Linked DNA regions of Drosophila melanogaster. The protein of the gene in region 1 interacts with the protein of each later gene in a pairwise test. Each region holds a gene or a part of one and is shown in the gene's direction. Other genes may lie near its edges.

Evidence for each region.
Region 2: the proteins of rib (region 1) and CG34376 interact in a two-hybrid assay, tested with the Drosophila melanogaster proteins (one large-scale study listed by BioGRID).
Region 3: the proteins of rib (region 1) and Dyb interact in a two-hybrid assay, tested with the Drosophila melanogaster proteins (one large-scale study listed by BioGRID).
Region 4: the proteins of rib (region 1) and lolal interact in a two-hybrid assay, tested with the Drosophila melanogaster proteins (one large-scale study listed by BioGRID).

The regions. Positions count from the first base shown.
Region 1 is NT_033778.4:19,266,177-19,274,025, forward strand, and holds the start of rib (ribbon), read left to right. Parts: upstream 1-3,901; 5' UTR 3,902-4,610; intron 4,611-7,849.
Region 2 is NT_033777.3:22,445,072-22,452,766, forward strand, and holds the start of CG34376 (uncharacterized protein), read left to right. Parts: upstream 1-3,027; 5' UTR 3,028-3,344; coding exon 3,345-3,549; intron 3,550-7,695. Other genes in the region: CG12499 (uncharacterized protein), read right to left, coding at 1-1,015, 1,068-1,461; CG34288 (uncharacterized protein), read right to left, coding at 1,901-2,064, 2,130-2,145.
Region 3 is NT_033778.4:12,433,695-12,441,236, forward strand, and holds the start of Dyb (dystrobrevin), read left to right. Parts: upstream 1-3,650; 5' UTR 3,651-3,695; coding exon of another isoform or gene 3,696-3,715; 5' UTR 3,716-4,196; intron 4,197-6,938; exon of another isoform or gene 6,939-7,041; coding exon of another isoform or gene 7,042-7,434; exon of another isoform or gene 7,435-7,443; intron 7,444-7,493; coding exon of another isoform or gene 7,494-7,495; exon of another isoform or gene 7,496-7,542. Other genes in the region: DUBAI (deubiquitinating apoptotic inhibitor), read right to left, coding at 1-122, 381-712, 778-1,587; Tmem18 (transmembrane protein 18), read left to right, coding at 2,503-2,562, 2,627-2,744, 2,820-2,968, 3,025-3,153; CG30334 (uncharacterized protein), read right to left, coding at 7,042-7,434.
Region 4 is NT_033778.4:18,152,479-18,161,625, reverse strand, and holds lolal (lola like), read left to right. Parts: upstream 1-3,607; 5' UTR 3,608-3,684; exon of another isoform or gene 3,685-3,866; intron 3,867-4,733; exon of another isoform or gene 4,734-4,879; intron 4,880-5,246; exon of another isoform or gene 5,247-5,460; 5' UTR 5,461-5,632; coding exon 5,633-5,734; intron 5,735-6,134; coding exon 6,135-6,221; intron 6,222-6,283; coding exon 6,284-6,478; 3' UTR 6,479-7,531; downstream 7,532-9,147. Other genes in the region: Naus (nausicaa), read right to left, coding at 1-597; CG10914 (uncharacterized protein), read right to left, coding at 1,456-3,330; adp (adipose), read right to left, coding at 7,780-8,918, 8,985-9,147. UniProt on the Drosophila melanogaster protein: Required, together with Trl, for maintaining the repressed state of target genes including homeotic genes Scr and Ubx. May also be involved in the activation of homeotic genes. Binds to a DNA Polycomb response element (PRE) at the bithorax complex.

The DNA.
Region 1 (7,849 bases):
TGTTGTCGTTCTTCTTTGGCGTTTTTGTTGACATTACCGAAAATGCTTTATCGCACTGTCGCTGCAGTTGTTGCCGTCTCTTTCTCTGCACCTACACGCCTCTCTTTCGCGCATGCACATGTGCAACGCATTTTCCCGAAAATTAAATGCAACATTGCGCCGCCGCGACTCAATTGCGTGGTTAATGCTAATTATTTGTTATTCCACAGGCGAGAAGCGACGGAAAATGCAGGAAAACGGGAAAAACAGAAGTGGAAAACACACACATATTTTTGGAAGACACGCACATGGGACGTGCAATTGCTGGCGATTTCCGGCCGCACAGCGCCGAAAAAATAATAAAAACCGAAAATAGATAGAGCGGCGACTGTACCAGCGAGCACAGTTTAAATTGGCTATAATGACCTTCGGTGGTTAAATAAGTTCGTGTTTTAGAAACGACGTTCAGTAGCAGCAATTAAAGTTAAGTTTTGGCCAATAAGAATGCTTGTGGTTTGGAAACCAACAATGATCATTATTATTTTTACTTTTAAATGAACCCAAACATGTAAAATCTTTATCTTTTTGAATACATTTAAATGGCAAAAGAATAATTTCTAAACCCAATTAATTAATGTTAAAGACTTAGGAACTCAAAAAAAACCAAATTGACATGTTTCACAGACTTCGTTATAAATGCAAATAAAGCCACAAAGGGGTTAAACAGTTTGGCAATTGATCGACTCACGTTGTCATTAGACATTGAGCGATAGTATTGCCCTCGAGTGTGCTTGTGGCACTTTGATTGTAATTAATGGGCTGCAATATTTATCCAATGCGAGCGATCAGGGAAGACACTTGGTCTGCAATCTCCATGATCCCAAGATAATAATAATAATGGCCTGTCACTCAGAAAGCAACTGCAGCAGCCGAGATGTTCGCCTCTTCATTTTCAGCCAGCAGCAGACCAACAATCGTCTTTGTTGGTGGCATTGGACAATGGAGGACAATTTCTCGGCCACTTGTCAAAATAATTTGCGCCTGTCTTTGGGCCTCAAGATGCGGATACCTGCCGTGCAATTGTTGACTTAGTTGCACTCCCGAGTACGTGAAATGTGTGAGAAATTCTTGGACAAACTCGAGGAAACCAGCATCTACGGATCCGGAAAATAGAAGCCCGAGAAGGGTTAGACTAATATTGGCCGAACATGCGATTAATGCGATTATATGGCTGTATACCCGTTTTCCATTTGCCCCAAAACTGCTGCGACAAGTGATGGCGCAGTAAATTCCCAAAAAATTATCACCTGTGCACCCAAAGGGAAGCAATAGTTCAATAACCCAACAAAGAGCCACCAGAAGAATGACGAGAAATTGTGGCAGCAGCAGCGCACAAAGAGCTGGGAATATCCCGATCCTATAGACGAAGGACTATGCACCATGGGCGAAGGACAAACCAAAACGAATGCCCAAATCGATTGCTGCTCCTGTTGCAAGAAGAGGCGGGGGCCACTGCCACAGCCGCATCCACATGCAACAGGATGCTCGCACACGCACAAATGCGGGATGAAATCCCCGAATGCCTGAAAATCCCTGGGAAAAGTTAACTTTTTGATTCGATCGAGAGAATAATAAGGGGCGCAGACGTAGAATCACACGATAAAGTCACACGGACGGAGTAAAAAGGAAAATCGGTGAAAAAGGGAACATGTTGCAAGTCAGGATCGCAGTTGCAATCGCAGCTGATCGTGTGTTCAGCAGGTTGCATCAATTGGGGGAAAGGACCTGAGGGCTAATGATAGTGTCGAACAAAGGACTAAATTGGCTCTGCAATTCCATGGGAATCCCTTTCTTTGCCATCTTATATACGTAATTCTTTATGCGCAGAGCTGGTTCATATCTTTACTAGATCGTTAGATCAGACAAGCCTCTATGAAGTGCTAACTTTTCAAAAAGCTTTGCTTCGCAAAATTCTAATGTCAGTAAAGCTGACTAGATACTTTGCATAGAAAAGCTTACATATATACATAAGAGAAGCAAATTCATCGGAATTTGTTTATTGCCAAAATTTTAGTAACAGAAAGAAATCTCTTCTGCTCTATTATTGTGCAAAGCTTAATGAATAAACAATTTATAAAAGCTTTCTCTTGCAGAATGTTATAATACTAATCGCACTAGACTTTCGTAAACTATGTTAAATTTATTCAAGGTTATGGTAACAATGGTTTAGTGATCTTATCACGCACTTAATATTGAATAAAAACAGGAAATTATCAGTAATTCATATACCAGAAAAAGAAACATGTAAGCAGTTATATATTTTAAAAAGTTGGCAATAATGGATCGATTAGCTTTATACGAAATCGTATAACCACTCTTTAAATAAAGGTAAGTTTTAAGAAGTTATCGAAAAACTAAATGCTATATGTAATGTTTCCAGATCTTAAACGTCATTACCAAGACCACAACAAGTCTTATAGCTCCCGATCTTTCCAGAAAGCTCTTCTGCGTGGCTGGTGAATTCTCCCGGTTAGATTCTTTCGCCCAGTAAGCTCCGCGCATTCGTGTTCTATTCCCCAACTAAGAACCACGTGTCTGGCGATTCTTTAAATCACCTCAAAGCGACAAAACACGACGTCAAGACAGCTTTTGACTTTTTGCGCAAAAATGGCGATACGCGATGTGCCAAAAATAAGCAAAAGCCCGCTCACCTATACTTGCGACAAAGCAGCGCACACACACTTGGCGAAAAGCTTTCGTTTTGCTCTTTTTGTTGTGTGCAAAAATGCTCTCTGATTGGTCGGCTTGCGAATTTCGGGGGAATTCGCGAGTCGCAAAAGCGAATCGAAAGCTTGCACAATTTGCCGAGCGGCAACCGAAGACCCTCGGCTCCACTTCGGTCACCATCGGTTCCAAAGAGCGAGGGAGCGAGAGCATCTGACTGTTTACGCGAAATTGTTATTGTTTGCAACTAGTTTTTGCGTTGTTTTTTTACGCTTTTTGTTGTTTTTTGCCGGCATTTTGCTCTTGAATTTTTGTTTTCGCTGCGAAATTCAAGTTCAAGTTTAGGGACGGCGGGAATGTTGTTATTGTTACTCAATTCTGGCGTGCTTTCGCACCAAAGTGTGTGTGTAAACGTATCTATGTGAGTGGGATTTGGGTTTGGGCTGTGGTTCTGTTGACGCAACTTGTTGCTTTCACGTCTGGGGTAAAATATTTAAAGGGCTTCCTTTACCTTTAAATCCATCAGATACTTCCACCACTTATCTATCTGAGAGATAGAAATAGATAGATAGATAGCTCATTTTTAAGATTCTGACTTCATAATATCTTTTTTTTTGCATTTACTAAATGGTTCTACACTTTAAATAGAACAACAATTCTGCGCTCATTGGTTAGCAAGGCTTTTCACTGTAATTGTCATTGAGCGATCCGTCCTTCCGCATTTTCACGTAGCCGCTTTTTGACCCTGGCCCACCGAATTTGTTTTCGTGGTAAACAACAAACTCAACTCGAGAACCAAAACCATACACGCACGCACACACACACACATACCAATATAGATTACAAAAATTTGCGCCGCATTTTGCTGTAAACAAAAATTGTGTAATAATCAAGAGTGACCCTGAAAAGCGCTTCACAGATAAACAAGCGGCCAACTGGCGGGTTATTTTTTTATTTGTCGATTGTTGTTTTCGACTCATGACTGTGTTGATATATTTGCAAAATTCTTACGTGGGCCCAAGGGCCGATGATAATTCTATGCTCGACGAAAGAGCTTTCCCCCCTCCAGAGGCCCAAATTTATATTTATTTTTTTTTCGCTAGTTTGGGAACTTTGCTTTTTTGCTCAATTTGTGAGTCAGTGGCATTATGTACTAGTATATTATGTACAGTCGAAGCTTTTTTTCTACACACACGCCATTTTTGCGGAGCTCTCTCTCTGCAGTCGAGAATCGGCGAAAGAATTAAAAAACAGATTCAGTCGGCTATACAGTCCCCACTCAGAAACAGAGAAACCGAGAAGCCCAGTTCCACTCGCAGTCCCTTTGGTAAACGCCTGAACTCAAGGTCAGTGCTCGTACCGCCGCAGAAGTTTGGCGGTCTGTCCAGAACTTACAGCAGAGCGACACATGTAAATCGCCGCTGCCAACCCTGCCCCGCCCTTCGAGATACACGAACTAACAGATACACAGATACACGGTTATATGTGCCCATCCGAATGCTTGTGAATACTGAAACACTTCCGAGAATCAGTTGTATTGCCCTTTTTTCATACTATTTTTTTCGTTGTTTAGTAACTTTGCGTCATTTTGCCATTCGAAGGCAAAGAGTTCACTTCGATCCAAGCCAAAAAAAAAACCAAAGAAAACTGCAGTGAAATATAGTGAAAATCGAAGCAAACACACAATAATGCCGGTTAAAATGTTGGCTGACTTAGGACCAGTGAAAACGTGGCCAGACTATGTGCGAAAATGTGAATCGAATTATGGTTAGAATCGGCGTTCTGATCAGCCAGCAGATACATTTGTAAAACGTGTTCTACGCACTCAACAAACCCCGAAAAACGTCGCTGGATCTTGCAGATACTATATGTACATGGAGTGAATAAAACAACAGCGGAAAAACAAGGTAAGTACAACACAGACGTATTCTATGGAGGGCGGTTTCGCCCCCACCTTCCCTTGCCATGTGACCATGGCCGTATAAATTCGAACAAAAATTCACAACGCTCGACTTGAAATTTCCCTCAAATTGCTAAAAATAAAATAACGCATTTGTGCGTGCGTTTGTGTGCGAGCGTGTTTTTGGTGAAAACATCGTGGAAAATGCACCCCATGCGCCGCTCGAAAAATGCTAGCCTGTACTTAACGGGGGCGTGGTCGTCGGCTTTCCATTTCCCGAATTTCCACATGTTCATTGAGCGGCAAACTGCAACTGCAACCGCCACACTCGAGTGGCGCTGGCGGCACAAATGGCATGGCTCGCTATTTATAGCCAACGCATTCGTATCTGCGCGCTTCATGGAGAGCATATGTACTTTTGTATCTATATCTATGCATATGCATATCTACGGCCGGATCTGCAACGACTTTGTCATATCTACATATACATATAAATAAATATGTACATATGTACGTGAAGGGACTGTCGCCCGGGAAACGCGATTTGAGTTACATACAAACGATCATTGCAAACATCAGTTTTATATCTGACGCCATACGCCCCATAGAAATAAAGTCTTTAGCACACAGAAAAAATTTAATTTACGCACTGTTTTTATGTGTCAACAACTCAATTTTGACTTTTCTCACAAGCAAAACTAAAGAAAACATATATTCTTAGAGAATTATGGGGTATTTAATATATATAATATATATGTAATTCGTAAATTACACTAAAAGGTTTGTCAATAAACTTTTCTCTCACTGTAAAGATTATATCTTTGTATCTGCGCCAGCGAAAACGATCACAAAATGGCCGACCCATGCAAAGTTGCAGTTGCACTGGTAGCCCCCCATCGCCACTTCCCCCACACACTTTGCACACATGCACAGATGTATCTGTATCTTGTTTGCCTTCTCCCGCTCTTCACCCAGCTCCCCCTGTGCCGCTCTTCCCCTCTTTTCCTGTTTCGCCTTCTTTCTGTTTGCTTTCGCCTAATTTTTCGTGCCTTTTTTACACAATTCTCGTTTAAATGTTGCCTTTTGCTTTGCTATCTGTCGGCCCTGTAAATGTATCTGTATCTGTGTGTTGTATGCTATGCTCTCGTATCTGTGAGTGCGTTGCAAAAGTGCAATGACCCATTCGTAGTCCGCCCCCCACCCTCCCCCCGACCATAACCCCGCCAGCGGACCCACCAACACCACCATCGCTCTACGAAGTCGCGGTCTACGTGCCACTTTCCTTAGTTGCAGCGAATGACGCGCGCGATAAATTTCCAGCGTTTTCGTTTCTCCGCTGCTTCGTATTTGTCTAATTTTCCCTCTCTCCGTTGAATTTTTTCGTGGTCTTCTTGTTGCATTTTTTTTTATTAATTTCCCCGGGCTGCAGTTTTTGTTTGTTTTTCGACTGTTGCTCTACCCACACACAGGAAAGTACACTCGAAAAAATGTAAATTTTGAAATAACTCTTTTTCTGGAAGCTGAAACATAAACTTACGATTAAAAATACAACTTTCCGAAGATATATTTTAAAAACCCTACTTTTCTCTGAGTGTAGTGTGTATCTTCTAGATAGTATTCGTATTTTTGCCCTTCCGCCGCGTGAGTTTTGTGTAAACACTGGGTGGAAAGGGGAGAGATATCTCAAAATTTTCGCCTCCATTAGCACACGAGTGCGAGCGGCGATCTTTATGGCAGGTCCTGCCGATCCTGTCGCTGAACCAAACTCTGCAGGCTGCCCATTGTCCATCGTAGGCGGCGGCTCCTGTTTTTTTCTTTGAGCCACGCTAATTGCCATTTGTGTTGGAGAGAATTTTCACGTGCCGCTGCTACTTCAAAGATGCTCTAAGAGGCGACACTTCAGCAACTGAAAAAGTCTCAAGAATCTAAGCATCTCGTTCGAAAGATGCCCAGGTAAAAGCAAAAGATACGAGGGCTAAAGGTAAAGGGTTGGCCTGGGAAAAGCCGGAAAAACGCAACCTCGATGCGTTTGTGCGTGTGTGTTCTTTTTTTCGCATTCATTTTTTACTTTGCATGACAAATGCTGCTATCAAGTCCAGACATTGATTGAAACCCAAAGCAAGGCTTTTCCTGGAAAATCCGCTTCTTCCTTTTTTCGCATGCAAATATTTTTCACGATAGTCGCTCAATGGTAATGACCAAGAAGCAAAGGGTTAGGCATCGTAAAACGCTGGTCCACATTTCCTTCGAACTATTTTGGCACATTTTTGCGAAAAGCCATAAACCCATAAATCTCAGACGAAACCCTTTCGCTAACGCCATAAAAATCTTCGAGCAGGTCAAAGGTTTCGAATCCACTGGTTTTTATTGCCATATGCTGACCAGCCAAACAAAGAGCTGATAATACTAATCGCGAAAATGCGTAGATGGAAAAACATTTGTCGTGCAGTTTGCAAACACAAATACGAAATGCAAATTCAGATTCAAATTCATATTTATGCTGAGAGTGCAAACTCAGAGGTGATAAGAAGCACTTTAGAACAATGCCATTTTGAGCAGATGACTGCAAATTAGTGCTGCTCGATGAACAAAGAATTACTTGATTGTTAAATCATGTCAGGGCCTTTCTTTTTTGCTAGGATCCACACATGTCCAACGAGCAGGTAGTCAACAGGATACAAGGATACTAGCAGTTCATTAAGAGTCCTTCGCTTCATTGAGCGAATGTCTTGCGGTTGGATTATGTGCGGATTTCTCCCTGCTAATCCCCCATAATAAGCGGTATTGGCTTTGAGCTGGGAAAACGTCTTTATCTCCGGTATTAGCCACATTCTCAGCAGTTAGTCAAAAAGTCAGCAAAGTCAACACTGACCAGAGGATAATCCATTTAAGGAAATTCTCTGTGATCGACACATGTTGAGTTTCGTGGAGTTTCCTCGAACTAACTAAGCATCTTTATAGGTTTTTAATTTATTAATTAAGCTAACAAATAAATAAATCATCAAAATGTAACTTAAGGTCATTAAAATCAAAAACAACTCTTTTACGTAATAATTTAAGAACCTGCAAAACTAAACGATTTCAAAGTGTAGGTTTATTATATTGTTGATTTTTGCCATTTAGTATAGCTACTATTTTATTTTCTTTATTTTTCACTTATATTTTTCTTATAAAGATGCAATATTTCGTTAGTCCGGCATATTACAGCCTCTTGGAATTCATATTTTACACTTTCACTGGGACATT
Region 2 (7,695 bases), on another chromosome or scaffold:
AGCAGAGAGGAACAATTCCTCACTGTATTGCGTCCCAAGTCTGGACAAGCAGTTAGTGTTTGAATAACCAAATCCACTTTGCGCGGATTATCGTAGGGCTTGAATAGAGAGCCAAGTAATCTGCCCTGCAGTTTGTTTTGCTTTTGGCGGTAGTGCGTCATCGCATCAAAGCAGATGCCGTGCTTGCGGGAAGTCAAAAGGACTAGCAGGAGTTCGTGAACGGCAGCCGATACCGCTTCCGCCTCCTGTGGGTTTGGAGGTATCTTAGAAACATGTTTCGATTTAGCAAACATCACCTTGAGTCCCATGGGTCCCTCCCAATCGTAGAGGCGACGCAGATTTTTGCAGCACTCTAAATCGAAAACCAGAACCTTTTTGGTCTTCTGTATTTCGGGGTTCTCCAGCACATATTGCCGTAGTGCGTTAAGCACCACGCAGACGGTTACGTGGTCATCGTAAACCAATCCCTTGGCCAGCACACCAATTAGTTGCCCTCGATCCAGGATGTTCCGGATAAGTAGAGTATTGCCCTCGACCAGGAAGGCCAAAATAAAGAGAATAAACGCTTTGCGCACTGTATCCTCGCATTGGTATTCACTTTTTTCATGGGACAGCAATTTCTGCGTCACAGTCACGTTGGAAAGCACATCATACGAATTCAGAACTTGGCGGGCCAATTGAGGCTCCACGCACACAATAGCGGTGAGCAGTTTTAGGGCATTACGCCGATGGCCTAGCTGCATTGATTTCATTTGATTTTCGAGCACTCCTCCGTGAACCTTGAGAAAATATCTACACCCGTGGACAGCCGACTCCATGTGGCTCTTCTGGTTGGTAAGTATTTCCATCAAAACTCGGTGCAAAGCCTCTGTGAGGTAGTCCACGTGAAATAAATTAGTCTTATCGATCCTTTCGAATGCTTCTGCTAACTCCAAGGGCTTTCCACGCTTTTCTATGTACTTAGCCGCAAGCTTAGGACGCGTGGTTGAGCACATGTGCAGGAAGTGTCGCAGTTCTGGAATTGGGATTCGTGAGTTAGCGATCTTTTATTGAACGTATTAACCCACCTGTTATGAAGTTATTGCCGCGAAGCTTGGTTCGAAAGTGCATCATCTTAAAGTCGTTGGGAAAGTGTATGCGGGATTCTTCGGGATCAATCCCGGAATCGCGACTTATTTCATCCTCAGCCATCTCCACTTCCACCTGTTGTTCTACACTTGTGTCGGATGTCTTTGTCTTTTTAGACTTCTTCTTTGATGGAGTGGAGTCAGCAGGATCGGTTTCAGTGCTTTCCAGCGTGGATTCATCGAATGATTCCTTAGTTTTATCCTTCTTTTTCTTTTTCTTCGGTGTGTCGGACTCCTTGGCCAGTTTTTTGGGCACCTCCACTTCACCTTCATCCTCTTGCTCAGCAGTTGTCTCCTCGTGCCTTCTCTTTCTTCGATTGGGTTGAATGGCCATTTTGCTTTAATAATAATATTATAAATTATATTTGCCTATTTACAGCATAAATCGTTTAAAATTTAAGTTAAACACAAAAACAGCCGCACACACGTGCTGGCAGAGAATGGTATGACCCTTTTTAAAATACCGAAAAATACCGCCCTTGTTTCAGTGTTGTATAGGGCGACACTTGGCGCGCTAAAATATAAACTGGCGAAACAGGAAAAAAAACAGAACAGCAACTTATTCAAAGAGATTAAAGTTATGATTTAATTTACCAACAATTTTATACTCTCCAACAATAAACAACGTATTTTACTACAATACTAACTACAAAGGGTGCACAACTTTGAAAAAACCACATCTCGGCACGGAATGACTCATAATCCAATCTGCCATTTGGCAAATTTACAGTTTTCCCTGGACGTGAACGTTTTTTCTGTTCCTTTAACCACGTCTAGTCATCCTCGAGGGCCGCATTGGTGGCTCCTCCAGATCCATATCCAGATCCTGCAGGAGCCGTGCTAGTCACCGATCCAGAAATCGGGAATTCTGGCAGAGTGGAGCGTTGTTTGGCTGGAGCCGGCGGAACCGCGGGCAAATCGACTGATTTACTTTTGCCTGCAAGTACACAACTATTATTAGTCGCTGTTATTGCCTTCTGAAGATAGCTGCAAATCACTTACCAAAACAACAACCCATTATGGTATACTCTTTACTGATTCTCGGGACGAGTGGGCTAATTTGCTGAAAGTTCTTTGAGCACTAAATCGGGCAAATCAAATCGGTGGCCAATTGACTGGGTGCGTATGTGTGCACCTGAGGCGTACAAACGACTCATGGCTAATTGATAAGCCCTGCTGTTACTTTTATTCTCTTTTTGTTTAAAATGTAAAGTGGGTTATTTATGACACCATGGGTAGGTCTGCTATCAACAGTGTAGTTCCCCATCGGCCGTATTAGCATCGTGCAAAGAACCGTAGAACTGTGATAAAAGCGGACAATGCCGGTCGGATATAACCGCAACGAAGCGACCAACAAACCAATTGCGATAAGCTCTTATCAGGGGAAAACGTTTTCAATGCTCTCTAATTGGCGCTAAATATTCAATTGTCGTTATGATATCGTTTATCGAAAAGGCTATCGATTGAAAATTCCGCTCTTGTGGGCCAGATTTCAAAAACGCTTAGAAGCATTTGACAATTCAAGCAATTTACGTAGTAATTGCGAACATTTTTAACAAATTAGTAGTTAACATACATTTTACAAAAATATATATTTGCAGGATTTATAATCTCTTTAGAATTATTATTTCTGTATAAAATCCCAGAATTTCATTCCTCTCTAACGTTTTTCTTTGTGATAACAGTTTTGATTGTTAATCAAATTTTTATAGCTGGAATTAAAGTTCAGCAAACATTTTCGTTTGTTTACCAGTGGCCAGTGAGACCGTTCGCTGTGGCGCCTAAAAAACCAACATTTCACTGTTCCTCAAAGTGCGGGGGGGTGGTGCGTTCATTATCAGCCGGAACGTAAACAGCGTCGCTGCTTTTCACGCTTTCCGATAAAAATGTTTAAATCACACTGTGTTAATTAGAGCCCAAATCAAAATCAATGCGCCCGTGGACGCGAACGACTCGAGATCGTGTGCGCGTGAATGCGGATCGAGTAGTTGGTAGCTAGTTTATCAAATTCGAACCCTTGATATAATAAAAATAAAGGTGCGCGAGAATACGTGAATTGCGATTTTTGGCCCGTGAACGAATCACGAGCAAAGCGGATAAACAAAAGCCATAAAAAACAGATTCGCACGAGAATCATCGCAAAAGTCTGTGCGCATAAATTACGCTCCCCAATTGGAATTGGAAAAGTCTGGTTTTCGGCGAGCATCCGCATCCGCGATGGACGACGAGTTTAAGCTGTGCTGGAAGAACTTCCAGGACAACATAGCCAGCGGCTTCCAGAATTTGTACGACCGCGGCGACCTGGTGGACGTGACCCTCGCCTGCGATGGAAAGCTCCTCCATGCCCACAAGATAGTGCTGGCTATCTGCAGCCCCTACTTCCAGGAGATATTCACTACCAATCCCTGCAAGCATCCCATCAGTGAGTACACCGATTAGGCAGCACAAGATTGCGGCCCCATCGCCGGCGTCCCCGGTTTAAATGCTAAGTTATGCAGCGTGGCTTACATTGTCAGCGCGGCATTTATATGTGTATTTTGATACTGGGCACGGAAGTGGTCTTCCAGAAATTGGTCAAGTTTAATGTTCCGAGCTTTCGTTGCCATGCATATGGATGATCCTAATGGAACATTGAGTGCGTAACTGAAGGATTCGGGTTTCTTACAAATTGCTTGGCTCTTGGCATTGCAAATACATTGTAGACATATTTTCTTGGAATTTTAATAAGCCGGAAAAGAGTCTGACTATTCGCTGGGCTATTTCATACCCTTCACATACATACATAGTCTGTATAATGCCAGGGAAGAGTGACTGCTGGTTACTTGGTCAAGCATATTCCCCCAGAAATCGGTCAGTTTATCACTGGGACAGCGGTGTCAGTTTATCGAGGAGCCCGCCCGTCAGCCTGTCTGTTCATCACTCTTGTCAAACGCTTAGATATAAATCAACCTTTGTGTTAAATTCCATGACACATTCGGTGGTTATCAGCCCAGCTCCACCGCCAGTTCGATTCCGAGTTCCAGACGAGCGTCCCAGCACGACTACGTCTGTCTTTACAGTATCGCTACCATAAATCCAACTATACCCGCCCTATTAACTTTACACTTTATTTCATAAGCCTAACTTGCCTTTTTTTTAGCATACAAAGTAATCAATCGAATAATATTGTTAGTCGTTTGATGGATCGCCCATTAAAATTAAGTAGTGCAGCGATATTAGGAAGATTATAAATCGTTTATGCAAATGCATTAAGGTTTATCCAGCCTACAGTTATCTAAAGACTTTGTAATGAACTGTAATCATTTGATAACCGATTTGATTTACTAATCCAATTCAGGGTAATATAATCCAATTCGTAATATCTGTCCGTTTCTGATTCATGTTCCAGTTAGTGAAGTTTGACTGTAGAGTCGTAAATCTAAAGACAAACAGCAGCAACCCACTAAGAATCGAGGTCTGGTGATAATCCTCCGGTGAGCCGGAGTGCCGCCGCGTTGTCTATGCCTGTGTGGTAGCTGCCGGAGTCCTCCGCCTCCGGAGGCACACCGGGATTGTTTACCCACGCCACGCACGGAGTATCCACCGGCGGAGGGAGTATCGTGATAAGGTCCATGGCAAGAGAGCGCAGAGTCGGAGCCGCAGCCCACTTCGATCGGATCGGGGAGATTGGGTGCGTTGCTGACCTCATCAAATGTACTTCAAATGGACTCTAGAACGGTGGTGTACTACTATTTATGTACGCTATATGGTGTATGGATATGATATCGCCGCGGCCCCTCCTGGTCGGTACGATTCCGATTTCGTTCGCAGTCGTGTTGAACACGGCTGCCTGCTGCACGGTGGCTTTATCTGATCAGGCGGCCATAAAAAATAAGGTTTTATCTTTTCAAGTAGCTGCAGGAAGGTGCTACCTACCCACAAACGCTGCTACAAGAGGTATTTCCAAAGATAAAGAATATTAATATACCCTATAAATAACGGCGAACCCAAGCGGGGGCAAGCTATTAAATGTAGACCAGCCCAGCCAACAACAGTCATCGAGGTGCTAACAAGCCAAATGGCTATGTGTTTGTTCCGTGTGTAACACGCAGAAACAACAACAATAGTCGAAATATTTTTTATCTTTTTATCGCGTTTAACAATCATTTATTGCCCAACTGAGTAACTGAGTGCCCGCCCGCCCACTCCTTCACCCTTACAGCCACTCGAAGAATTTAGTTTAGTCGAGATATTGATTAGAGAGCCTCGCAACATATATACGTGTTTCCGCTGCTCCGGACGTGTAAATCAATCCACACTGTGCCGTTCCAAGTGGTTATATCTGGCCAACAGTCACAGTCCCCAATACAATGCTAATCCTCCAAAATTATCTATTTATTATTGGCATAAACAAGACGGACATAGCTCAAAGAAGCTGGGGTCGGAAAAATCGAATTTTTGAAATTTGAAAGCTGGAATCGTTTGCCCATTTTTTGCCCATGTTTGCCCACCAATTAGTTTTTTTTGCCCACGTCCAGTTTTTGAGATATGAATTTTCGAAAAAGTTCGAAAATTTTCGAAAATCAAAAATTTCGCTTTTTTCAAAATTTTTTTTTTTTAAATCGCAATAACATCGTTTGCCCACGTTTGCCCACCCTTTAGAATTTTGAAAAAATGTATACTTTAGAAAATATAAGGCTTTTAAGTTTACCTCGGTCTAATCAGAGAGTAAATCGTTTGCCCATCTCTTAAAACCAAATATTATCAACAAAAAACGTTTGCCCAACAATTATTATTAGTTTTTATCGTTTGCCCACCCTTTAAAAAACCTTTAACAAAAATTTTTTTTCGATTGCCCACATTTAAAATACAACCAATTTCCTTAGCCAACCTCTTTAAAATAAAAATTTCCAATAAAAAAAGTTTGCCCACCATTTAAAACTAAATAATTTCGATTGCCCACCTTTTAAAACTAAATAATTTCGTTTGCCCATCCTTTAAAATTCATTTTTAACGTTTGCCCACCCTTTAAAAATAAATTATTTCGTTTGCCCACCCTTTAAAATTTGTTTTTTTCGTTTGCCCACCTCTTAAAAATGGTTTTTTCGATTTTTCACCTATTAAAAATAAATTTGTACATATGTATGTAATAATTGTAAGATGTGGCGTCAAAAGCACAGTTACTTACAAAAGAACAGTTATTTACATATTTACATACATTTTCAATATATCCATAGTGTTAATCATTCATGAATTGTAACATCAATTTTTCTTAATCATTGTTTCATTTCATGGAAAATATTTTATATTGCAATATAATATATATGCAAAAAAATGTATGTATGTTTATCAACACTCTCCAAGCTCAAGAAAATTCTGGAATAAAATATTTTCGAAATTATTTAGTTTTAAGAGTGGGCAAACGAAAAAAACAAATTTTAAAGGGTGGGCAAACGAAATAATTTATTTTTAAAGGGTGGGCAAACGTTAAAAATGAATTTTAAAGGATGGGCAAACGAAATTATTTAGTTTTAAAAGGTGGGCAATCGAAATTATTTAGTTTTAAGAGTGGGCAAACGAAAAAAACAAATTTTAAAGGGTGGGCAAACGAAATAATTTATTTTTAAAGGGTGGGCAAACGTTAAAAATGAATTTTAAAGGATGGGCAAACGAAATTATTTAGTTTTAAAAGGTGGGCAATCGAAATTATTTAGTTTTAAGAGTGGGCAAACGAAAAAAACAAATTTTAAAGGGTGGGCAAACGAAATAATTTATTTTTAAAGGGTGGGCAAACGTTAAAAATGAATTTTAAAGGATGGGCAAACGAAATTATTTAGTTTTAAAAGGTGGGCAATCGAAATTATTTAGTTTTAAGAGTGGGCAAACGAAAAAAACAAATTTTAAAGGGTGGGCAAACGAAATAATTTATTTTTAAAGGGTGGGCAAACGTTAAAAATGAATTTTAAAGGATGGGCAAACGAAATTATTTAGTTTTAAAAGGTGGGCAATCGAAATTATTTAGTTTTAAGAGTGGGCAAACGAAAAAAACAAATTTTAAAGGGTGGGCAAACGAAATAATTTATTTTTAAAGGGTGGGCAAACGTTAAAAATGAATTTTAAAGGATGGGCAAACGAAATTATTTAGTTTTAAAAGGTGGGCAATCGAAATTATTTAGTTTTAAGAGTGGGCAAACGAAAAAAACAAATTTTAAAGGGTGGGCAAACGAAATAATTTATTTTTAAAGGGTGGGCAAACGTTAAAAATGAATTTTAAAGGATGGGCAAACGAAATTATTTAGTTTTAAAAGGTGGGCAATCGAAATTATTTAGTTTTAAGAGTGGGCAAACGAAAAAAACAAATTTTAAAGGGTGGGCAAACGAAATAATTTATTTTTAAAGGGTGGGCAAACGTTAAAAATGAATTTTAAAGGATGGGCAAACGAAATTATTTAGTTTTAAAAGGTGGGCAATCGAAATTATTTAGTTTTAAATGGTGGGCAAACTTTTTTTATTGGAAATTTTTATTTTAAAGAGGTTGGCTAAGGAAATTGGTTGTATTTTAAATGTGGGCAATCGAAAAAAAATTTTT
Region 3 (7,542 bases), 6.8 Mb from region 1:
CGTTCAGCACTCGCGAAGGCGTTAGTTCGTAGCGCAGCGAGTGATGCATCAGGGCAATCTGCTGCTGCACTTTCATGAGCAGCACTGAATTGCACTCGATAAGCAGGATTTGCCTGCTAAAACTGCAAATGGAAAATGAGTATATGTAGTTGTAAGAAGATAAATAAAGCCAATAAGCTTCGTAATCGTAATTATTTTCGTAATCGGAAATTGACACCTAAAACAGATTTATAAACAGTGAGCTCTTAAACAAAAGGTGCTGGCAAGGCAATGCAAATATAGAACCGAGTTTTAATCATAAATATGAGGCAAAGATATTATTTTGCGCTTCTACTTTGGGGAAATTAGAAGTGGGGTTTCTTCATTTGATCTTTACTTACTCGCTGGTCATGGCTAGCGCCTGAAGTACGCTATTCATGTAGCAGGTATTCCCCAGGTTAACGAGTCCAACCCTCGCATTCCGCCGACCCCACGGCTGGGCATTCTCATGCATTGCCTTTGCCAGAGCCACGCAATTCGGAGAGGGCTCATAGGTCTGCAGGGCTTTCTTGGTTGCGACATAGAGCTCATCCTGATCATAGAAACGTAGCATTAGGGCGCTGGTTAGGTCGACCAGTTGCTGCAGACATTTCTTGGTTTCCAGGCCAATCTCGTCCATGGTGGTCGACTGATTCTTCACATACTGCAGGACTCGTGGGATCCTTGGCAAGATCTAATAGGGTAACCAACCAAATGTCAATAATTATGTTGAAGCTAATGTTTGAGTGAAGTGTTTACCTTGTGAAAAACCTCGGGGGTCTGATTAATCGTTGACAGCATGTGAAACACAACCGGTGCGGCCTTTTGCCTCAGCGCCGGAAAGATCATCACGTGGAACAGCTTCTCGATGTTGTCCATTGCAATCTCGTCGAGCAGCGCCATTTTGCCCTGATCCCTTAGCCCCTTGAGCAGCGCCAGCACCCAAAGATTGAGAGTGCTGCAAAAGGTGCAGTACGTGATCCAATCACAGAGCAGGTTCACCGTCTTCTTAATGCTCGAGTCCTGCACATTCTGTTCCAGCAGCGAGTGTACAGCCTCCAGGATCTGCGTGGAGTCGAACAGCTGGAACACAATGGCCACGGCACACGAGGGTGGTGGCTCGAATGGCGACTTGGTGATCAGCTCGTAGACGACACGCAGGTAGAACATTTGGTGGAACTTCTCGTTGCGCGTAGCCAGAAAGGCACCGACCTGGCAGACGTCTTCCTTTAGGCGTGGACAGGATGCGCCTCGTGGAATTTGCAGACGGGCCAAGTCCACGATAACCCTCTCGCAGATGGCCATCACATTGTGGCCTTGCTCCGGCATATCGATGCTTTGGAGGTATGCCAGCAGGGCCTTAATATCCCGCTTGCCCGATCGGTTGGAGTTCAGGCTCTCGCCAGCGGGCGAACCCGTGTCCATGCCCTTTGGCAATACGTTCTCTTCGGCATTCGCCATTCCGTTCGCGGACATGGGTTTGGCGTTGGGCGGAATGCCGTTGCCAGCTCCTCCGGCATTATCCGAGGCATTATCACCCGCCTCGCTGTTATTCTGCTTAACGGCCATTTCGCGTTTCAATCGCTTGGCGTGGGCGTGGACGTGAGTGGCACAAAGGCTTGCGGACCACAGGGCCGACTGGAACTTCCAGTTGCCGATGGGCGGAGGCGTGGGCTTGCCTAGCGCCCGAACACAGCGGCTTTTTCGTTGCCTGCGACTCTGAGCGAGGAGTCTGAGCCGCGTGTCCTTGAACCGCGCTCCGTTACGTGTCGTCGTTACGATTTGACTGCGACCTTTCAACGGGTCTCGAGTGCGCCTCGATCCCTGCCCGATCCTGGCCAGAAACTCCCGCCACAAGCGCTTTAGAACAGAGTCCTAGACGAGTGTGGTGCACGGTAGGGTCGGTGGCCCGTGCCACATCTAAGGCGCCCCTTTTTTCGGATTACCCTGCTCGGCTTTAGCTTCGATTGCTTGCTCACACGTCGCCCGTTCGACTTAATAACCCGAATAGATTTGATTCGCCCTAAAAACTACAATTTTGACTGTTTTAAAACGAATTCTTTGTGATATTTTTCGGATTTGTTAATGTTGTCTACTGAGTCAGTGAAAGCGTTATCGACACGTTCAGACTGAATGACGGGCAGGGCGACTCTGCACGACAAGTCGGGGTGGGTGAGAATGAGGTGGCACAAAATTTGTAATTGCATTTATATGGTGAGTAATACATACTAAACGAAATAATAGTATTTTGATTTATGTTGTTATATTTAGCCCATAAAATAGTAAGTTAGGTCTTACAAACAGCGCTACCAGATCCAGTCAAAATTGAGGAAGCCTGAACGTCTATAGGCCTCCCAAAATGGCGTTGCCATGAAAAATGACAGCTGTTCGCTGCGAATGGCTATTTATGTTTGTTTTGACTCGGCTTTCGAATATATCGCAAAATATATACAGGAAACATTTATATTCACAAAAATCTGTACGATGCACCCAGGGCAAATTGAGGTCAACGAGATCAATGGCTATTGGACATTTCTGCTGAGCGTAAGATACTCGCCTATATACAATCAAAAATCAAGAATCCGGCAAGTTGTCACTATTTTTGCAGATCGATTGGAAGGATCCCTGGCTTATTGGCCTTATTTTGGCGCATATCTTAACCACCACCACTGCGCTGCTCAGCCGGAACAGCTCCAACTTCCAGGTTTTCCTCTTCCTAGTACTGTGTACGTGGACTTGGCGGCTTCCTTGACTTACCCGATAAATGACTCTGATTTTTGCATGTGCTTCATCTTCCTCAGTGCTGGCAGTCTACTTCACCGAAAGCATCAATGAGTTCGCTGCTAACAACTGGAGTTCCTTTTCCAGACAACAATACTTCGATAGCAACGGCCTGTTTATCTCGACAGTTTTCTCAATACCTATTTTGCTTAATTGCATGCTTTTGATTGTAAGTTATAGTGTTTCCACTGCATGAAGTGTGTATTTATCTTTGCTTATTTGCAGGGCACTTGGCTCTACAACTCCACGCAGCTGATGGTGACTCTAAAAACAGCGCAGCTCAAGGAGCGAGCTCGCAAGGAACGCCAGACTAAGGCGGATTCGGAATCCATAGCACATAAAAAGGCAGAGTAGAACTTACGCCTGTATTACATGCAGTTAAAAGCACAAGTAGAGCTGTGAAATTATATGTTATGCTTTAAATGGATTTTCCTGTCATCTAGATGTAGTTTGCTGCACAGCTCTCGTCTTTAAAATAAATTTAATTTAGTATAATCAAACTTATAGAATTTGTAAATTTAGGCTATTTTTACATCCTGTTTTACTTAGCGAAGTTACAAACCTAACATGCCCTTCATATTAAGCAAAAAATCACACCAGTTACCGTTGCCACCTTGGTAAAGCAGTTTTTACTGCCACCTAAAATTTTCTATATATATCACGTAATATGAACTATTTTGATATTTTTGACGAAATTAACATTATAGATCCAATCAGCTTATTGCCTGTATCAATTTCTGATCTGTGTGCCAAGACTGTAATTTCAAATTAGAAGCTCGTTGGACCTGTGTCATTTTTTAGTACGAATTCAATTGGGAGCCCTTCGTCGTCTGGTAACACTGTCCAACGATTTTGTTGTTGCTGGCTTGTGGGTGTCGAAGCAGTGTCGCGGCGCAATGTTGGAAGTGGTTTTTGGGTAAACAAAATCCGTTGATAAGATATTCGCACGGAGCTAATCGCAAATCGCGCTGCGTATTTACCGTTGGCAAGCCAGAAAAAAGTTTTGCATAGCATTGCGGTTTAAAGCCAGGCTCAAAATTCCTGCGAGCTCGCTTGTGTGTGTGCGTTTTTGCCGTCGGTGTGTATGTGTTTTGAGCCCATAAGCGTAGCCCGAAAAAAAGAAGTTTTTCTGTTACCATATTTTTTACCAAAGGCCAAAAGGGCGCAGCATCTTCGCTCTCTATCTCGGCGCTGCATCTTGCTCTCTCGTTCGCTAACGCGAGTTTGGCAACTCCGTTTACCGTTCATCGTTTATTGTGTGTAAACAGCAGGTGAAAATAAAACGCGATAAGTGCAGAGAAACAGGAGAAGGAGGAGAAAGAGCAGCAAGAAGAAGCAGCAACTCCGCGCAGCCCAACAAAAAGTGACGTATTAAAAAAGGTTGCTAATTACAAAAGGTAAACAACAAATAATGTGCGGATTATATTACCAAATTCCCGGGCATAAACAATACCAATAAAATGTTGCTAAGATTGCCCTTCCACCCCCCTCACTTACCCACTGAAATGCGTAGTAGATTTCCGCGATAGGAAAACTCGGATGAGTGACGCGTTGGCGACGCAGCGCACAGTGTTCATTCATAAAAAGTGTCTGCCCCCCTGCGCCCACTCCCAAAACACTCCCCCCTCCCCTCCACACTTTGAACCAAGCCTGTTTGTGGTTGCGCCTGGAATTTAGTTTACAACTAAATATGTTTGCGGGCAGCTAGGAGGAAAGTTCGGATTTGGTTGTTTTTGCTATGTGGGAAACCATAGTTAAACTATTTGCATTCCGTTGGAAAGTCTAGTGGTTCACGCCACGCCCCATGTTCGCTCGTTCACGAAATTATGAAATTGTGTAAATTATATTAAAAAGCTTAACGGGTATATTGATATCTCCTCTATAATACTTCATACAAGATAAGTTTAAGGAACTGAAATGTTTGAAGTTTTAATGAATTTCCTTAACTATTGCGTCTGGTTGACATCCAAGTTCGCATAGTTGAAAAATTCCATATCAAACTGAGCCGCATGCCTTAATAACTAGACCTTTTGCTCATTGAGATTAGATCACATACCGCCATATGGCAGTCGGTGAAATGATTAGCTCAGCGAATAATTAAGCGTCGTGCGAATGAAAAGTCACACACACACACACTGCAACTTGGTGTTTAGATTAGAGCATTTTGTATCTTAGCCCACCTTTGGCAATCGGTGATATCGAATAGCAGGAAAAACAATAATACGGAATTTATGGTCAGCGTGTCGCCAAAATGCCAAAGTCAAGCGAAATAAATACATAGAAATAATGAAAGAAAAAAAACAATCAAAATAACTCGGTGACATCATTTTGACTAATCGCCAATTTTAGCATTTGAAAAACGGCGGCTGCTCGCCCGGCCCACCAACAAGCGCGCGAAGGTGCGAAGGAGAGAGTCCACCAGGGAGGGGGCTGCGAGCGAGTGCGGGAGTGGGAGCGAGAATGAGAGGGGGAACACTCGTGGCAGGTGCGCCAAGCCGAAGTTCAAAACGAAGCTCAAACCCGAATGCCAAGCGGCATTCCGAACCACCTACAAGTCGGCAAGTAAAATGGATCGAATGCTCTTGCGATATCAGCGAGTTTCACTTTCGAGCCCCTCATCTATACACGAATACTATCTGCAATCGGAACAATCACTAGATAATCCCACGATCCAACATTAAGCGCATTGCTTTTATCACAGGTATTAAATCAAAGCCATGCATTTGGAAAAGTGCGCTTGCCATTTGCCAAATTTAAGTGGCTTTAATTGGCTGGTTTTTACGACTCATTGGCATTATGACGATCTTTAAATTTTACGATTAAATGCATAAATCAGGTGTTGAAGTGTAGTGCAAGTGGTTGCTACATATACCCCTACATAAATAGAATCACTCCAGAAAAATATGGCATTCAAGTTGAGTTAACTACTGGCTTGTATTGTAAGCTAAGAAATTGTTAAGTGGTAGCTATTCTCAAAAGCTTGCGCACAGGGGTGCCTTTCTTTAACTCATTATTATATCCATTTATATCCATTACGATCAAATATTCGTTATATATGGAAAATTGCCTAGCCTACCGTGACTCTATTGCCTGCCTGTTGATATTTCCCCCGCGGCAACTTCGATCCGATGCAATTAACTCGAACATATTGTGGCTCATTACGAGGGGCATTCCAATCTGAAGACGAAGCGACTCGATCTAGTTCACAGATACAGAGCTGCATACACGCATCCCACTGGTTATTTCGGTTAATTTTGATGTGTGCTGCTAAGAGCCGAGAGTGCAGAGGACTAGGCACCACTGCTCCACATCCCCAGATATTTCCGACACTACGTGCGCTGCGATGCGACGTGTCGACCGGGTGGGTGGAAATTTGGAAATGTTGTGAAAAGCTAAATGAGGCGTGACACGAAAAAGAAGGCAGAGGGGAAAAAAGAGCAAAGCGACAAACACGCAGAGCAGCATGGAAAAAAAAAGAAAAAAACAAACAAACAAACAGAGCTGAGTGCGGCCACCCACAACATGACAGCCGCCACAACAATGGCCATAGTAGCGTCGAGGAGCAGAACGAGAACGTGGTGCCCACCAAATCTAGCCACGGAGTAATTTCGGCCTAGAAAACAAAGAAAACGAAGAAAACTGCCCAGTTGTCTGCGGAAAAGACAAAGGAAGAATGGAAAACCAAGAGAGCGGAATGAAAAAGGGGGACCAATTCCGCACAAGGCGCACAATTAACCCTTTCTTTGAAGTCAGCGGCGAATGTATCCACTGTCCACTTTCCACTGGGCTTTAATTAGTTTATGGAACAAGCGTCCCGGCTCGGCTAACTGCAATAAAATTAATCGTTTATGCTGTAATCGCATTTAGCGGCGCCGACCTCCTTTCCACTCCTCTCCTCCCTACTCCTCTCCACACCGGATTCTGGCCCGGATTTCCACACCCGCAGTGGCCTCGTTTGATGTATGGGATGTACATACATTTATCGCGGGCGACAACTTTGTTCTCCATAACCAAGAGGCAGTCATGTGTGGGCATTCCATTACAGGGGATTTTCGCTAGCGATTGGAGCGTAAAGCATCTGGTTATTTTAAGACCAAGCCCATAATAATAAACCCAAAGGGCTAACCATAATTGTTCTTGCTTTACAATCAATTTTGCTCAAAAAAAAGAAAAAGAAAGAAATAACTCAAGAAACCAATTAACCGCAAACAGTGAAGTCCAGAGTCCACGAGACGTACATGCTCAGCAGCAGGAGTAGCAGGATGCGCGACAGGATTGGCCACAGCAGCCAAATCCACTGGAGCACATCATGCAGCTGTCCGCTCCGTACGGAAATTGATAGCACGGGGAATACGGGCGGGGACCACAGGACCACGATCCGCCACGAGGACCACAAGATGGCGCACAACCACCTCTGCCTCTGCCTCCACATCCACCTCTCCCTCCTCCACCGCCTTGGCCGCCTCCTCCTCCTCCGCCATAGCGGGAGTCACAGAAGGTGGTGCCAAAGGGCCCGTTACCGCCACTCCATCCGCATCTGGTGAAGCCCGAGTACTCGCCATACGGACAATCGCCGCACGCACGCTCCGGATAGGGTCCAATGTAGAACGGATTGAACTGTCTGCAGCTGGACATGTTAGCTGGCTAATATCGGAGGTCCATCAATTGGAAGGCATTCGGTATCAACTACTCACATTCTGGACTTCACTGTGCGCGGCCAGTGAGCTCCTCTATTCGGTATAA
Region 4 (9,147 bases), 1.1 Mb from region 1:
CTGGAGCATACGCTGATTGTTTTCCAGCGATTCGGTCAATATGTTGACCATACGCACATGCGTGGCCCTCTGCTTGCTAACCATCTGATACTGCTGCTCCATTTGCTGCTCAATGATCTGGCGCACCTCCATCTCCGCTTGCGCCGCCTGCGTAGACGATTCCCTTGATATCAGATTGCCATTGAGTGCGATCTTGTCCCGGAATATGGCCGCATACGGATCGTTCGGCTGCAGTCGCTTGGTGCGCAGCTGTGCAATGAGCTGCTTTACCCGCTCGTTCCTCAGGGCGGCTATGCAGACATCCCGTGCCTGCAGCTCGCCCTCCAGGTAGTACAGCATCTTCACCAGCTCGCTGTGCGGCATCTCGGAGCGCGTGCGTCCGTTGGTTGCGGTAGCACTGCTGGCGCTATTTGCCACCGGCATCACCTTGTGCACCACACCGGGACCCGGTTTCATGGTCTGGAACTCGTGGTTGGCGCTCACGGTGTCGCCGACCGACATTCCGGATCCGGAACAGTTCTCAGTGCCGTAATCCGCGTCCGTCGCTGGTGCCTCCGCAAACGTATCCGCAACGCTGCTGTTCGAGTTCTGCTCCATTGCCGCCGACTCTTTCGTGTGGCTCCCGTCCCGATATCCAATGCCCAATTCCCGATTCCGGATTCCGAACTCCCGATCTCCACCTCCGCTCAGCTCACGGCATACAAAAAAAAAAGTTTGGTGCGTCGCAGTTCGCAAATTACACGGTATGCAAGCTCTCTGCAATATTTAACTTCTGGCCCGGACTCTGTTTAAGCCCGCTTTCAAGGCAAGTGGCTTTGCGCAAGCAGCAATCGCCACAGGAAATTATCTTACAATTTCTTTGTCAATTTGTTGCCCGTGAAAAAGTGGATACTTGCGGCAGTGCTGCCGATTCAGCTTTATTCCCGTCAGATCTGGCTTAGTCGCAGGATAGTGCTGCGCATGGCGGGAAGATAAGAACATAAACGTCTGTTTTTTAATTAGTCAGCATTTTCTTAAATATCCAAACGCACTTTATTTGAGTTATATTTTTACACTCTTTACTATACTGTTAAGTTAAGCTTATTGTATCTAAAGGTGCTATGTTCATGATATCCAAAATCCATGTAGCCATAAACAGCTTTTATCTTTTATTAAAAAACGGCAGCACCGATTATGTACGCTGCGCTGCCAACTCGCTTTAAAAAAGAGTAGCGAGTAGCCAGTGTTGCAAAGCACGTTAAGCAAGGGTCTGCTTTTTGGCGCCGTTACGGGTTTTGAAACTATATTTAAATTTATAAGTTCATAAATATAATATATAATAGCACAAACTTTATTATAAAAATCGGGGTATGCTGAAAATAACTAAAGCGGTGCAAATTGCTTTAGTTTGGTAGAATATATTATTAAGTAATTTAAACAATTGTATTTATTTACAATTTATAAACAATTTGTTTTTTATTTTTTGTAAACAAAGGGCTTGGCGGTGTTGTAGGCCAGGGAATACCTTATGTGCTTGCCAACCAATCGATCGGCTAAAGGTATTAAAGCCGGTTCACGTCTGTAAATCCCTGCCGCCTTTGGTGTCCAGGCCCGTAGACGACACTCCGAGTGGCCCGGCAGCAGGATTCCCATCCAGCCCGCAGAGCTGAGCGTAATATCACAGTTAAGCCTCGTTTCCTCGTTCCTTCCTTCACTTGCCAGCACAATATCCCCATCCTTGCATTGCAATCCCGGCCAGCGTCGCAGGCGGGCCTCCAAGTTCTCGCTAGCGAAGGGAACACCCAGAAAGGGCGAACCCACGTATCTTTTGTACACGCTTTCCGCCTCCTGTGTATCTGCTATCATGATGGGAAGATGCTCTGAGGCAAATACAAACACCTTCAGCCAGTCAAAGTGTTTCCTTGGGCTTGTTATTTCCAGCAGATCCAATCTGGCCAAACCGCCCAGTAGTATGCTCATCTGGGGCCGCAGCCGAAAGGCGCGCGGTCGGATCATGGTGGCGGGCTGCAGCTTTACCAGCTCCTCGGCGGTGAGCAGGGGAGATATTTGGTCGGGTTGCATCACACCCGGTGTGTCGTAGACCCAACGCGCTTCCTTGTACTCCTTGCCCCGATCGTTTAGCGTTGTAATCGGTCGCGAGCCACCGGCCATGGCAAAGGCATCATGGAGATTTTCGCGTCGATCGAAGGTGCGTCCAACCGGAGCCACTGGTTGAGCAGCTGCCGCTGAACCCGTTTCCCTTGCCACTGCGCGACGCTCCTTTTCCATTTCCGCCTTCTCGCTGCGCTCCGAAACCAATCTCTTAAAGCGCTGATAGACTCGATCGTTCGATGGACGCAAGATTGGAAACCGCAGCAGTTTGAGTGTGGTGCCCGGCCACGGACAGGTGGTGGCCTTGCGCACCAGGTCACTGGCCTCCGGCCGGCAGTAGTCCGAGTTAAGCAGAATGTTGAACAGCGAGCTCTTGCCCACATTGGTGCAGCCCACCAGATAGACATCGCCTTTGTAGGCCCACGTTTTGTGCAGCTGCGTTATTAGCTCCTCGATGCCATAGCCCGTTTTGGCGGATATCAAACTGACATTCTTGATATTTAGACCATTTCCACCGCCATGCTTGATGAACTCGCGCTGCAGAGAATCCTTAATATGCTGAAGATAGATGTTGGAGTCGCGCGGCAGCAGATCGACCTTGTTGCCCACCAGGAAGACGGGTCGCTTTGCGCCCAATATGTTTTGCATGCCCGGCCAAATGGAGCAGGGAAAATCGAGAAGGTCCACCAGAACAATAGCCAGTGCAAATTTGTCTTGAATGCGGGATATGGTGTCCACATAGGTCGATGGGGCCACCACCACATCCAATGCGATGTTGTAGTGGTTCAGAAAGTGACAACGCTTGCAGGTGATCGTTTGCAGTTCCTGCTGCGTCCTATCCCTGAATATTTCACTTGGTATATAGCCTGGCAGGGAGGCATTCGTGCAATGAAGGTCTGCGCCGCAGCCGTTGCATGGAACCTTTGAGGCGGGTAACGAAGGATCCGGTGTGCCCTGCTTATTCCCTCCCTCCTGGGCGCCCTGATAGAACTCGTAGTCGTCCATCCAGTCGTCGGGCAAATGCTGTTGTGTCTCAGGAATCGAGAAAGAGGGTTTTATTTTGGTCTCCAGAACAGAGCTGTAATGAACGTGCTCATGATCCTTGTACCGCTCTCTGGCGAGCAGCCACGCCCTCTGCCGAAAGCTCTGTCCCACTTCAGCGGCGGTATTCTGCCGCCTCGAACATGTGATAACCACATTTTTATTTATAATTTTATATAAACGTGTGGTTTTAAACATTTTGCAATGCCCACAAGAATTCTCACAGTGTCAGACTAAAGCCGTTTGCTACGAAACCATTTACATAGTCAGGGCTGCTAGCCGATAGATCTGAACGATTGTTATATTATTTGGCGTACAAAATAACAAGCATCAATTCAAGCAATGCTTTTTGTGTTATAAATCGAATAAAAGATATTTCAGTACATTAATTTGTGTTCATTAACTGGAAAAAAACAAAACGCATCGAAATTAGGCCGATTCATATCGAACAATCACGAGTGTATCGAAAATCGAAATCGGTGAAAGAGAAAAAAGAAAGCAGCGTTAGCGAGAAAGCAGAGGTGAGTTAAGTGCGGGACAAAAAAAAAGCGTGTATGTATTAAAATTGAAACAAAAAGATATAGAAAAAGCGTGTCCACGGCGCAATTAGCGTGCTCCTGCGGCGGTCGGCAGGCGATATACGCATTGGTAAAAGTACAGAGTACACGCCGAGTAAAAAGCAGCAGCGCACAACAAATAAAATGATTAGGAAAGTGTGTGGAAAAAAGACAAGTGTATGTGAACGGCGATTGTATGTGTGCGTGACGTGACTGTATGCGTGCTGCTGCTGCGTGTATATGAAATAAAAAGTAACGCGAAGCGCGACCTAATTTTAACCAAATATTACAATAATATTTGCATAAACAAAGGCGGCTCGGTTAATGTGACGCCAGGCATTTTGGTGGTTCCTGCGGCTTTCCACGAACGTTTGCCGACGCCATTGTCTGACCAAAAACAAAAGAAAAGAATTGAAATAGAATAAATCTCAGACGAGCACACTATTCCGTCGAGTGTAGAGTTCTTCCCGATTGAGTAATGCAATAACAACAAACGGAGCTGCTCAAATTGTTGAGAGTGTTGCAACTTTCGTTGGAACTCGTTTTGAACCGTTGTTGTTGTTGTTGTTGTTGATTTTGTCGCTCGCATCGCTCACTCACTTACTCACCGACTCACTCGCTCCTTTCCATTCTCCTGATGTTACCAAAACTGGTCTTCAAGAAGCAACAATGCAGTTTCTTGACGGGGAAGGGGAAAAATCAATAGTTCGGAAATTAGACAACTTTCAACATCCATGATTCAACGAAATGCACTCAGCCTAGAAGAAGCTACCGATAACCCCGGGCGCAAGAGCAAGCGAGATAGTTGCCGCCGCCTACCCACACTCGCACACAGCCACACACTTACACTTATGCAGCTGAATTTCCAGCGATGTCTGCTCTGCCTTTTAAGTTGTTGTTGTTGTAATGTAATTGCGAAATCATAACGGCAGTTGAAAGTTGAGAGCGCTTAGCGAAAGAGAACGAGGGACACAGAGAGCGTGAGACTAAAGTTTAAGCTCTGGCGGCAAACTATATGCCCTGCTCTCCCCCGCCCACGCAGAAACATACAGCCGGCTGCCAGTGTAGCGCATATGAGAGTCGCATCAACAACAACGCTATTTCCTCAAGAAGAAAAACACATGTTGGCCGCACAGTGGGATGGAGTGGGAGTGAAATTAAGACAAAGTCACTGAATGGAAGTGCGAATGGTGCCGCCATCTTGGTTCTTTTTTGGTCAAAAATCACGGAATGAATGCTATTTAACTGGAGTGCGCCTAAAAATACATTGCCATCGGCAGCTGCAGCGTGCATCGCGTGCAACAGACTAATTCCGCGTTCTAAGCCACTGTGCCGCATACGAATTCAAATAAGCAATAAGTACACATGTGTGTACGACTGAAAATGCAGAAATTGCCTTGAAAAGTGAAAGGCATTCAACAGAGCGAGCCAGCGACGATTTGATATTTTTGCCTCTTTGCTTAACCTTTGCTGGCAGCTGTTTGCTGTTTTTATTTAGCGCTGTCTCAGCACTTTGACATTTTCCAGCTCACTCACACATGTACAGAGTAACAACGCTGTGCATTCCGAACTCCCATTTCCCACTGCACAAACGCTGCACATGCGCCGCAGCACATTTATATTTGCAGAATACTTTTGGCCAAGAGACGTGCTGTTTTGCAATGCTCTCGTAACGTTCACTGCTAATTTCGCCAAGCTGTTGTTTGTTTGTCTTACTCTGCCTTGCCGTTACCGTTCGTTCACTAATGCTGTCTGTTTACTTCTCTTGCAGAGTGCGTCAAAGAAAACCCAAGCGAAAACCCACGGATTAAGCGGTCCGCTGCGAATTAAGACCATCTAACGGTGAACCTTTCGGTCACTAGTCCAAATTAAGCCTCCTGCCCACCCCCCTCCCAGCATTCTGTTCAGCGAGCGCGACGCCCCCACAAAACAAAAGCTTCTTCATGATGTCGTCGGATCAACAGTTCTTTCTAAAATGGAACGATTTTCAAACGAATATGGTGACCTCGTTCCGTCACCTGCGCGACGAGAAGAGCTTCACAGATGTGAGTAACCAAATGAAACTTTCCAGAAGCGGCGATGGAAAAACTATTGCAGTCGAACTATTAGTTAGAATGATGATATTAGATGTCAATATATTTTGAAGTTACTTATAAATTCAGTCAAAATCAAGCCATAGAAGTTCGACTGTAGTTAACCAGTCCCAGGGGCGCGCTGAGGTTTATTATGCTACTCTTGGCCCGATTGGCTCGCGGCCGCCCCTTGTGGAGGGTCAGTCACCGGCTGAGCTCAGTTGGTCTGAGTAGCAGATACCTGGCCCTCACGCTATTTTCAATTCGTTTTTCTTTTACCTGTGTTCGTTCTTCGCTCTGCGTTTTTGTTCAATTTGTTGCGGTGAAAATGCCTGGCGGATCTTACTGATTTCCCAATGCTTATTGTTCACAGGTAACACTCGCCTGCGAGGGCCAAACCTGCAAAGCCCACAAAATGGTGCTTTCCGCTTGCAGTCCCTACTTTAAAGCGCTACTGGAGGTGAGTTTTTCACGCGGTAATAACTAAGCAATCGTTTGATAATGTAATGTATGCACCCGCAGGAGAACCCATCGAAGCATCCGATCATTATCCTGAAAGATGTCTCCTACATTCACCTACAGGCTATACTGGAGTTCATGTACGCCGGTGAGGTGAACGTGTCCCAGGAACAATTGCCAGCATTTCTTAAGACCGCCGATCGCCTCAAAGTGAAAGGCCTCGCAGAGACACCCAGTTCGATAAAGCGGGAAGGTTGATGGTATTAAACAATAATCGAAACAAAAAATACATAATAAATAACAACAACCAACTATAAGAAACTTATATGTACGCAAGAAAACAAAATTCCAACCAGCGGCAAAAGAAACAACATTACGAGAACGACATTTGGTATACAAATTCATATAAGAGTGCACGAGGAGGATGAAGAACGCCAACAAATGACCACACAAAGCTAAAGCTGGACAGATTGAAATGATTAGCCTGTAAAGTAGAGGTGGAGGCCAAATCCGCCCGCCCACTCCCACACCCGCTCATTCACATCTGATCAACCAAATTGCAAAAAAAAAAAAAACAACACTTACCGACAACCCCACAGAACTCGATTTGAATTCTTTTTGTTTAATTTCTGCATAAAATAGTTTGTAATATATTATTAACAATACAAACCACTCTGTATAAATAAAACGATATGGACAGCAGCCCCTAAAGCAAAACAAAACATAACGAAACGAAACAAAACAAAAAACGCACTTTTGTAAAGTAATTAAAGAAGATCCATTTAAAATATATAAAGATAATTATAAATATAGTGTGAAATGTGCAAGTAGATGGAAAAAGCCACGACGGGCGCGAATATTACAACACATTCGGTTAGTTTTTAAGCCACTAACTACAACCCCAGACATGCCACGCCTCCAGACAGACAAACTCATTTTCATCTATATTTAAACAATAAAATAGAAACAAATGCAAAATTGTACTTCAATTAATTGTGTGTGGACAAGCGCGTTTTTCCCCAACTTCTGATCATACGCGAGATACATACATATATTGTATTAATAACAAAACGAAGAAAAGGTGTTTCAGTGCGAAGCTAGCAGTTCTACACAGTTTAAACAAAAGAGTAAGGAAATACGTTAGAATGAAAAATACAACTTGAGTAAAAACTATACTTGAATATTATTACATAAAGTAAAATATTTATATGTATGTATATGTATACATGTGAGCATAGATTTAAAGAAACTACGGTAAATAAACAGAATAATTAAAACAAAAAAAAAAAAAAAACAAATGCAAATCATCCTGAGCTTTTCATTAAATTACGATTCGAAAACCGGTCGATTTGCATGTCTGCATTTATTTTAATAGTCTTTCATAACATCCTTCATAAGCTTCGTACTTTGTATACAGAGTAATTCGTTTACAAATTAACAAAAATATGTTCGCTTAGCTTAAATTACACTAATATTTGATATATTGCCGATTGGATCTCGCTTGCTGTTGCACATGCATGCAGCCAATATAGATCAAGATGCACAATAAGCCACAGTTCCTAATTATTGAAACAGTACGCATTGCGCGTGTGCAGTTCGAATGGATCGAGGCGCATCTTCTCCTGGTTATCCTCAACGAAACGCGTCACATCCGCCACGAGATTGGGTCGCTCCTCGGCGCTGGCGGCGCACGGCGACCAGATCTTAATGTTATGGTCAATGCCACTGGTGGCCAGCATGCAGATGCTCGGATGCGGCTGCACGCAATTCACGATGGCACTGTCCGCCCGATAAACGGCGCGTATCTTGCCCGTGTCTCCCTCCCAAATGTACATGTTGCCGTCATCCGAACCAGCGGCTATGAACTCGCCCTGGCTGCCCAAATAGTTGGCCTCCTTTATGTCCGTCGTGACGTTGCAGTGGCCCACATAGCGTTGCATATAGTCGCGTGCCGTGGAACGGAGATCATATTCGGCGTTCTTCAGACGCAGGTAGCGGAAGCCATCATCCACTTCCACCGGCTGTAGCTCGGGTGCCTCGGGGCTCTTTGACTGTCGTCGATTCTCCTTGATGTCCTTGTTCAGCATGAGCACGCCGTGATTGTTGGCGAAGTCGGGGAAACGCTGAATTAGTGCCTGCAAGCACTGATCCGCATCCTGGGGTCGATGCAGCTCAAGCAATGCCCTGGCCAGCCGAAAGTGGGCCTTCACATAACTGGGATCCAGACGCAGGGCCTCGTGGCAGTCCCTAAGTGCCGCATATATATCACCAAACCAGCCGCGTCGCATTAGAGCCGTCGCTCTGTTCAGATAGAGGACCTCTCCTTGTGGATATTTCGCCAAAGCCGCTGAGTAAGCATCAATTGCATCTACAAGTTTGCCGTTCTCAAGAAAGTCATTGCCCTCCTTCTTATACACCTCTATTTCGGTTGGCAGCGAGCGACTTCTGTGTGGCATCTTCACCGGCTCCTCCTCGTGAACGAGTGTTGATGTGAAGGCGGGCAGATCGTAGAAAACCGGAGGCTCAGCGTGATTCAGATCAAAGCGGTAGACGTGCTCGCAGCCTATGTTGACCAAAAGCTCTGTGCCATTGCCATTGAACGTAAGATAAGTGATTCCCCGTGGCTCGTGGACAATGTTCCGGCTGATGTTTTTCACGATCTGTCCGGGTGCATAGTACGCCACGCAGGCAGAGAGACCTTAAAGGGATAAGAGTTCAATATGCATATGTATGAGCTGCAGCGCCTACAAATTCAAGTACTCACCATTGCCGTTGGTGGAGGGCAGCTTGCGGCGATCGTACACCCGGGCAAAGGGATCGTTGGTGCCCACGGCCAGGTATTCCGTCCTTCGGGGATTTATAGCCAGACATTTGGCCTCTGTGTTCTCCAACTGATCGTGCAGGTTCAAGAGCCTGACACCAATACC